2 linked regions of the Caenorhabditis elegans genome follow. The protein of the gene in region 1 interacts with the protein of each later gene in a pairwise test. Each region holds a gene or a part of one and is shown in the gene's direction. Other genes may lie near its edges.

The links. Proteins that work in one complex are often made in the same cells at the same time.
Region 2: the proteins of elt-2 (region 1) and kin-21 interact in a two-hybrid assay, tested with the Caenorhabditis elegans proteins (one large-scale study listed by BioGRID).

What each region holds. Positions count from the first base shown.
Region 1 is NC_003284.9:10,479,601-10,483,941, forward strand, and holds elt-2 (Transcription factor elt-2), read left to right. Parts: upstream 1-1,639; 5' UTR 1,640-1,640; coding exon 1,641-1,782; intron 1,783-1,832; coding exon 1,833-1,931; intron 1,932-1,974; coding exon 1,975-2,101; intron 2,102-2,145; coding exon 2,146-2,286; intron 2,287-2,380; coding exon 2,381-2,549; intron 2,550-2,594; coding exon 2,595-2,692; intron 2,693-2,738; coding exon 2,739-3,112; intron 3,113-3,276; coding exon 3,277-3,341; intron 3,342-3,499; coding exon 3,500-3,586; 3' UTR 3,587-3,841; downstream 3,842-4,341. UniProt on the Caenorhabditis elegans protein: Transcriptional activator that binds to the consensus sequence 5'-[AT]GATA[AG]-3'. Predominantly directs the transcription of intestinal genes such as ges-1, cpr-6, pho-1, ftn-1, vit-2 and lev-11, and itself.
Region 2 is NC_003282.8:9,831,127-9,835,411, forward strand, and holds kin-21 (Tyrosine-protein kinase), read left to right. Parts: upstream 1-1,759; 5' UTR 1,760-1,808; coding exon 1,809-1,988; intron 1,989-2,042; coding exon 2,043-2,537; intron 2,538-2,599; coding exon 2,600-2,716; intron 2,717-2,761; coding exon 2,762-3,217; intron 3,218-3,264; coding exon 3,265-3,387; intron 3,388-3,435; coding exon 3,436-3,696; 3' UTR 3,697-3,744; downstream 3,745-4,285.

The sequences.
Region 1 (4,341 bases):
TATTTTATCATTTTTGATTATTATCTGATATTGTGGGGTGTGAAGTAATATTATGTGCGTGTGTGGCTGATTATCGAAAAAAACTGAAAATTATCAATTTTTCTACAGGTTATCTTTTTTTGTTTTATTTTTCATTATTGTATTCTTCATACTCCTTATCCTGCCCGAATCACAAAAGTTCCAGACAACTTGAAGGTCGCATCACGTTTTGTTTATAAGAATGTTGAACTGGTCAGCTTTGGAGACAGAACTGTCCTCCAAATGTTGAATATGTTTCCGTAAAACACACTGTGTAACAAAAAGCGTACCCTTTGATCCGGTATTCTTGAAAAAAAACATAGAAGGGCGTACTTTTCATATCTCACAAATATGCGTTTTTTATTTTATAATAATATCATTTATTGATAATTATATGTATTTGTATGTTTTCTTGTCTTTAAAATTATGGTGTGACATCACAGTTTAAAAATTATATGAAAACTAATGAGTGAAAAGTTAAAAATGTATAGTTTGCCGTATTTTCTCCATTAGTATTGTATTCAAAACTTATTTCCAATTGGTGAGCACTATAAACTTTGTAGGGTAATTGAGGTTCAATACTAATTTTTGAATATCTAGCTTTTGACAAATTATTCAAGTTTTGACAATGATGCCTTATCAAATTAAAAAAAATTACCATAAATTCTTGAAAGCTTTTGATTTTGTTTCACTCTGTGAAGGATAGTAATTTATCAACATTTTAACTAGATACATCTGTTCTGGCAATAAATTAAAGCAAGACTATTACTATGTGCAGTATTAATAGCTGCATTGCAACTTGTTTGAAAGTTTCAGTGAAAACGCAAAAACTCAATTTAATTTTCAAGTTTGTTTGCAAAATTGGATATATGTATCCATCAAAAGTCTGATCGCCTGTTTTATCTACTTATTGTCTCCTCAGTTGATTTTTTTGTAGTTATTATAAACGCTACTTTGAAACCAATATTTTCTTCCTCATTCCACTTTTTTCAATTACCAACTACCGTACATGCAATGATGGGCGGACCCGAGTCCCATGTTTGGCTGGAAGTGGGTGGTTGTCTGCGTATATGAGCGACAGAGGTCGGGGCTGAAACTGATAAGAATAGTCGACACTAACGCCATAATCGCTAGCCAGCCATCATGCACACCGAGCTCGGTGTGCACACCATCTTTCTTTTCAAACCAATACGCTTTGTGCCTTCATTGACAATTTTCTTTTTGATAAAATCAGCCTATCTATACTTCCCAATCATTTTTAGTCTTATCGTTGAACAGCTATCGAGGTGCCACTGTTTTCACTGATATCTTCTAAGTTACTATGGCATTAACATCTTTGTGTTCTTATTTTATGGGTTATTTTAATTAATTTTTGCAGTTAATTTTTGGAATGAGCAAGAAAATGTTAATTGTAATATCTTCGTCTGAAAATTGTCTTCAAATAGTTTTAATTTTAAAGGCAGTATTTAAGAAAATACACTTCTCGAAGCATTTTTGAATTTTTGAATTTTTAAACTGCTTGATGTTTTAGGTGCCACTGTTTTCATTGATAAGTTTTGATGTATAAATGCTTGATTTTCTTGGCATTCTAATAAAATAGAAACTAGAAAATAGATTATAGAATGGATAATAACTACAATGATAATGTCAACGGCTGGGCCGAAATGGAACCATCTCAACCAATGGGAGGTCTGCGCCTACCAACTCAGAACATGGATCCACCAGAGCAAAATAATGAGTCACAATTGAGTGAACTACCGAGAAGTAAACAAAACACTGAAATGCTTGTGGATTATAAAATTATAAAATTTCAGTGAAAATTGATAATGATTACGCATCTCCAATTGAACGGCAAAGTGTTATCACAAGTGGCACAAATAACTATGAGCCGAAAGTGGAAACTGTTACATCATGTAAGTGTGAATTCAAGTTATTTGGATTAATTCTTCCTTTTAGTTTTCCATACTGGCATAGACTACTCAAACTTTGGAATGTTGGACCAAACTACCATGCAACCGTTTTATCCTCTTTACAGTGGAATTCCCGTAAACACTCTTGGAACTTTTTCGGGATATACAAACTCGTAAGTCATGTTTTCAAGTTCTTACTTTCATATTCAAACTTTAGCATATACGACAAACCCTCTCTGTACGACCCCAGTATTCCTACCATTAACATCCCTTCTACTTATCCAACTGTGGCTCCAACTTACGAATGCGTCAAATGCTCACAAAGTTGTGGGGCCGGGATGAAGGCAGTAAACGGAGGGTAAGCTAGAAAAATTTCGATGACTCAATAAACTACCGGATTAATATGTGCCTGTACACTGTTTGGAAATAAACTACAACGAATAATTTTCTAGAATGATGTGCGTCAACTGTTCAACACCAAAAACCACGTATTCTCCTCCAGTCGCGTATAGCACTTCTTTGGGACAACCCCCGATTCTGGAAATACCTTCAGAGCAGCCAACTGCTAAAATTGCCAAGCAATCCTCTAAAAAGTCAAGTAGCTCAAATAGGGGGTCAAACGTAAGTTAAAGTTCGTTTGCAACAGTGTACAACAAATCAATACAGGGATCTGCGTCCCGTCGGCAGGGACTTGTGTGCTCCAATTGCAATGGTACCAACACAACTCTCTGGAGAAGAAATGCTGAAGGAGATCCGGTCTGCAAGTGAGTTTTTTTTTTTTTTTTTTTTTTCTAATGGTTTGTTTTTCAGTGCTTGCGGGCTTTACTTCAAACTCCATCACATCCCTCGGCCGACCTCAATGAAGAAAGAAGGTGCTTTACAGACAAGAAAGAGAAAATCAAAAAGCGGAGACTCTTCCACACCATCAACGTCACGGGCCCGAGAAAGGAAGTTTGAGAGAGCCTCTTCTTCGACCGAAAAGGCTCAAAGGTCATCTAACCGGCGTGCGGGAAGTGCAAAAGCAGACCGAGAACTGAGCACTGCTGCCGTCGCAGCTGCGACTGCCACATATGTGTCACATGCCGACTTGTATCCCGTTTCCTCAGCTGCCGTCACCTTGCCAGATCAAACGTACAGTAATTACTATCAATGGAACACTGCCGCTACAGCTGGGTTGATGATGGGTACGTGATCAACTTTTATAAAATGAAAACTACTAACCTTGAAATAGTACTTAAAGTATGGTATTAATGGTGGATAGCGTTAATTACAACAAAAACATAACTTCATAATATTGCATTCAAGCCCTCTAAGATATTCAAGCTTTTCAAAGTTTATTTTATTTCAGTTCCAAACGATCAAAACTACGTGTATGCAGCAACAAACTACCAGACTGGCCTAAGACCTGCCGATGTGAGTATGAAGCTGTTTGCCACTTCCTCGCTTATCCCACCGGTTGAGTTGCTTTTCCCAATATTTTCCCATGTACACACCAAACAGTTGTCAAATATATTACCTTATCGAGTGCTCACCTTTCATGTTTGTTTCATTTCATAAGGAATACTTTTTAGAACATCCAAGTTCATGTGATGCCAGTTCAGGATGATGAAACCAAAGCTGCGGCTCGCGATTTGGAAGCGGTCGACGGAGATTCTTAAACATATAGAAATATTGCTCAGCTCTTCCAAAGTTGTCCATTTTAATGCATAGTTTTGTATTCTCAAAAAAAAAACCATATTTGTATTATTTATCATACTGATTGCAATAACTGCCTTTTTAAAGTGTTTTCAAAGTGTTCATCCATACTTGTATAGTTTCAAAATGTTTTAAATATTTTTTCTCTAAATACTAACTCTAATAATTATACAAACATGTGTACCCTACTTTTAGTTTTTAATAAAATTATTATGGTTCTGGGTGTTCTAGATGTAAATGATGGAAATTAACTACAGGATATCGTAAAAGCGTCATAAAACTTCAAAACTTATGATACTGTAGCAAAACTTTGTTATTTCAAATTAGCAAATATTTCTGATTACGGGTTCTTCAAAAAAAATTTAAAAAATACACTAATTTATTTTTCAACGACGCCGGGCACCTGTGAACCAAGAAGATTGATACCGCGTATTTCATTGCCAAGGTTTGCGCCCATATTAACAAATTTTGAAATGAGACTTCTCAAAGTTTGCAATGGCTGTTTAAATTTTTGAAAAATGGCATAATATACAGTGCGTCCAACTTCTCTTGCCCCCCCCCCCCCCCTCTAATTTGGCGGTTTGAAACAGTTCGGTAGCGCATGTTGAAAAACTTATGCTGGTGTGAAGTTTCTTTCAAAATAAATTTATTAATTGCAAAGAATACCCCGATTTTACCGAAAATTGTCAAAAATCAGAGGGGGTGCTATAGAAGTTGG
Region 2 (4,285 bases), on another chromosome or scaffold:
ACCTTCTCATTGACTACCTTTGCTCATTGACTACCTTTTGCTCATTGACTACCTTTGCTAATTGACTACCTTCAAATGCTCTTTGACTACCTCTATCTAATAAAATTTTCCAAAATTTTTTTTGAAAACTTTTCAAAATTTGATCAGAAAAAGGCAATGTTTGTAGTTTTTCTAGTTTGGATGTTCTGCACACGATTGCAGACGAAAACCTGAGGTTTAGTAGAACACCTAAGCTCAAAAAACGCACTCACTTCGGATGCTGATATCTCCGTGGAAAAATTTTTTATGACAAAGTGATCAACTACAAAGTTGTTTATCTTAATCTAAAGTACAACTTTGTAGTTAATCGTTTTTTATCAAAAAATTTGTTGGTTGAGATATGAACAGAAAAAGAAGAAGAAAATACAAGCATGAAGGTGCCGAACTTTACACAACTTTATCTCGACCAACAAATTTTTTGATAAAAAACAATCAACTACAAAGTTGTACTTTAGATTAAGATAAACAACTTTGTAGTTGATCACTTTGTCATAAAAAATTTTTCCACGGAGATATCAGCATCCGAAGTGAGTGCGTTTTTTGAGCTTAGGTGTTCTACTAAACCTCAGGTTTTCGTCTGCAATCGTGTGCAGAACATCCAAACTAGAAAAACTACAAACATTGCATTTTTCTGATCAAATTTTGAAAAGTTTTCAAAAAAAATTTTGGAAAATTTTATTAGATAGAGGTAGTCAAAGAGCATTTGAAGGTAGTCAATTAGCAAAGGTAGTCAATGAGCAAAAGGTAGTCAATGAGCAAAGGTAGTCAATGAGAAGGTAGTCAATGAGTGTTTGCCGGCATAATGTTGTTGAAAATTTAATTCTTAAATTGAAAATTTTCGTACTGTAGTAAAAGAGCTATGTTGGTAAACCGTAGTAAAAGAGATTCCGTAGTAAAAGATCCAATTGTAGTAAAAGATCTAGATGTGGAATTCGTAGTGAAAGAGATTCCGTAGTAAAAAAGATGCGTAGTAAAAGATCAAGTAGTAAAACAGTATTTGCCGAAAAGTTGTCATTCGCTGTAACACCATTTGTTGTTAGAAATTTTTGTATATCTCGAATACTGTTACAAATACAAAAAAGATTTCACTACATTTTTCTGAATAATAGATTTTTTAAATGAAATTTCTTCAAATTTATGCCGGAAAATGAAGTTCAAGCGGTCCTCAAACAGAATCGGCTTTAACCTTGACGCTCTCCCACATTTTGTGTTCAAATTGATACAAAAGCACCAAAGTTGGTTCGTTTTAAAAACTGAAAAGTTCAAAACCAAAAAAACAAGGAACATTTAAAACTATTTATTGAAAAAAGTCAATAAAGGCTCTATGGGTTGTACTCAATTGGAAGGTTCTTGCGACGAACCATACCGTCTCCCTGGAACCATTCACGACGGAATTGTTTGGCAGCGCCATCCGGGGTGTTGGTCCACTCAACAGTGATACGGTCGTTGTTGGAGTTATGAGAACTCTATGAAGATTATGGAAAAATCTGTCCAATTTATAGCAAGCTTCTTATCTTTGTCCTAGATCTTTGCTCTAGATACGTCACGTAAAGTTCAAATGTTAAATGAACTTTTGAAAATCCGCAAAAACTCATATTCCAATATAAAATTATAGAAATATAACAAAACAATTAAAAAATTTGTAAAAATTCGAATTGAACGTGAACCATTTCACTAGCCCCTCCCACTCCATCAATTGCTATTTTCAATCATTGCTTTCATATGAAGATCAGAAGAATCAAGAATTCAAATCATTTGCATATAAAATAATGAAAACACCTGATCAAAAAAGTTGTGAAACTGCTGAATCAAGTAATACCAAATATTCTCCGAATCTTGTGATTGATGGAGCTGCTGTGAGCAATGAGGATGTTGCCGGAAAAGTAGCGGATCTTGAATACGCACATTCGTTTCCAGATCTGGTTCTCAATGTTGAGAAGCATGATGATGTAAGGGATATTTTAGAACTTCCATAGGTTATATTAAAGATTCATTAATTTCAGGAATACATCAAATCATTCTTGCTACAACGTAACTGGTATCATGGAATGATGTTCGGAAAGGCTGCCGAGAAGCTACTCAAATGGGAGAGCTCTTACATTGTCCGTAGATCAATGGGTCCAACACACAAATTTCTGTGTATAACGGCACGAGTTGAAGACAAATATTTCCATTTTCAATTCAACTGGAACTCGGAAGGATGGAGTTGCCCGATTCTTTATGAAAAGTTTCCAAGGATTCCTGTGAAGCGATACGAACACATATATCAACTTCTCGATGCCTGGTCGCTGGTAGTCAATCAGCTTGTACCAATCAGTCGATGTTCGATGATCCTCCAACACAGTTCAATCGCTTTGGAAAATCAGCTGGGAAGAGGAGCTTTTGGTGAAGTAATCAAAGCAAAATATGTGCCAATGGGAGCAACTGTCCCGACTGAAGTAGCCGTCAAACGACTCATCGGAGATGCCAAAAGGCCCCAACTCGTGGACTTTTGCAACGTAAGCTTAAGCCCTCCACAAAGGATCCATCTGAAGATGCCAATTTAATGTACTCTTTTCAGGAAGCAAACATCATGACTTTGCTGGAACACAAGAACATCGTAGCTCTGTATGGATTCGCGTCTCTCCAGCAGCCGATCATGTTAGTCATTGAGTTTGTACCGGGAGGAGATTTGAGAGTAAGTGAAACCGCAGATTTTTAATTAATATCGAAAAATTTGCAGAAATACCTTCAACGTACTCCAAACGTACCCAGTAAACAAATCATCAAATTCGCAATGGAGATTGCCAGTGGAATGAAGCATCTGTCCTCCAAAAATGTCATCCATCGGGACTTGGCCGCAAGGAACTGCCTGATCACTAAAGAACTGAACGTCAAAATTTCTGATTTTGGCTTATCAGTGAATGAAAGTGAGACGAAAATGAAAAGTTTGAAAAAGGCCCCAATCAGATGGCTCTCTCCGGAGACATTCTCCAAAGGATTATTCAATGAGAAAACGGACGTCTGGTCGTATGGAGTACTGCTCACGGAACTTATGACGAGATGTGCACATGATCCGTTGTGGCCGAAGAATCTGAAGCAGGTGCAAAAATGGATCAAAGAGTCGGAGCACCCACATAAGATTGAAGACGGAGATCCAAGTGAGTTGAAAGAGATTGTGGATGCTTGTTGTGCAAAAGTAAGGTGTGAATAGTTTCTTCTTGATGTTAACTCTCCAATTTTAAGATTCCATCGGTCCGCATCAACTTCAGAGAAGTCAAAAACCGTCTTGCGATGCTTCAACAGAAAAAGAAGACCCTGGAGCTTGATGCTCAAAAACCAATGAGCCCTAATCCAGCTATTGAGAAGGTTTGGCATTTTTTCCAGATTATAATTATTCTAACATAAAAATTACAGAAAAAATCGGAAGATCGTCGAAATAATATGGATCGTAGAAACAAGACGAATCGGAAGAGCCATACTTCGACTGATCGTACAAACTCCAATAATACTCTTACTCGGAAGAAATCAAGAGATGCTGGGAAGAACGATCGATCCAATGAACGGAAGAACAAGGCGAAGGGTGGTAACTTGAGTGTTGATGGAACGAATAAGTCGTCACGTCGGAAGGAACAGAAAGGGGCAGTTGGAATAAGTCAGGAAATGGTTACTAAGTGAACTCATGTAATCAACAAAATAGTCGCGTGTAACCAATGAATGATGAGAGATTTTTCAAATTTTTTGAAAGTACCTATAACCTACCTAGACCTACCTAAAGTACCTAGTAAGCCTATGCTCTCACCTTTGTTCACATTTGATCGAACATCTCCGACAGTTTCTCAATAACAGTTGTCAATCTTTGAGTTCCTTAGAAACTTTTCTGCTTCAGACATTCTTGGTGTCTCGAAATCTTTGAAATTCTTATGTTGGTGATATCTGAATTTCTTTTGTGTTTTTGGGTTTTAATTTTCGGATTTTTTGAGTCTGCCAGTTGGATGAAAAACACTCTGTGTTGGAGTGCAGCTAGATTGTGCTCAATTATCTAAATTAAGTACGCTGAATTATTATTTTTACATGAGTTGTTAAAAATAGACTGTTGACTATTAAAGAAACTAATTTCATAACTGAAAATGAAAAAACCTGCTCACGAAGCATGTTCATAATATTTTATCAGACAAAACTCCAACTCAAACTGAGAAGGTTTGTATTCCTATAACCTTTTGAAAAACTCAATCGCATCTACTCCCGAATGAAATAACTTATTCGA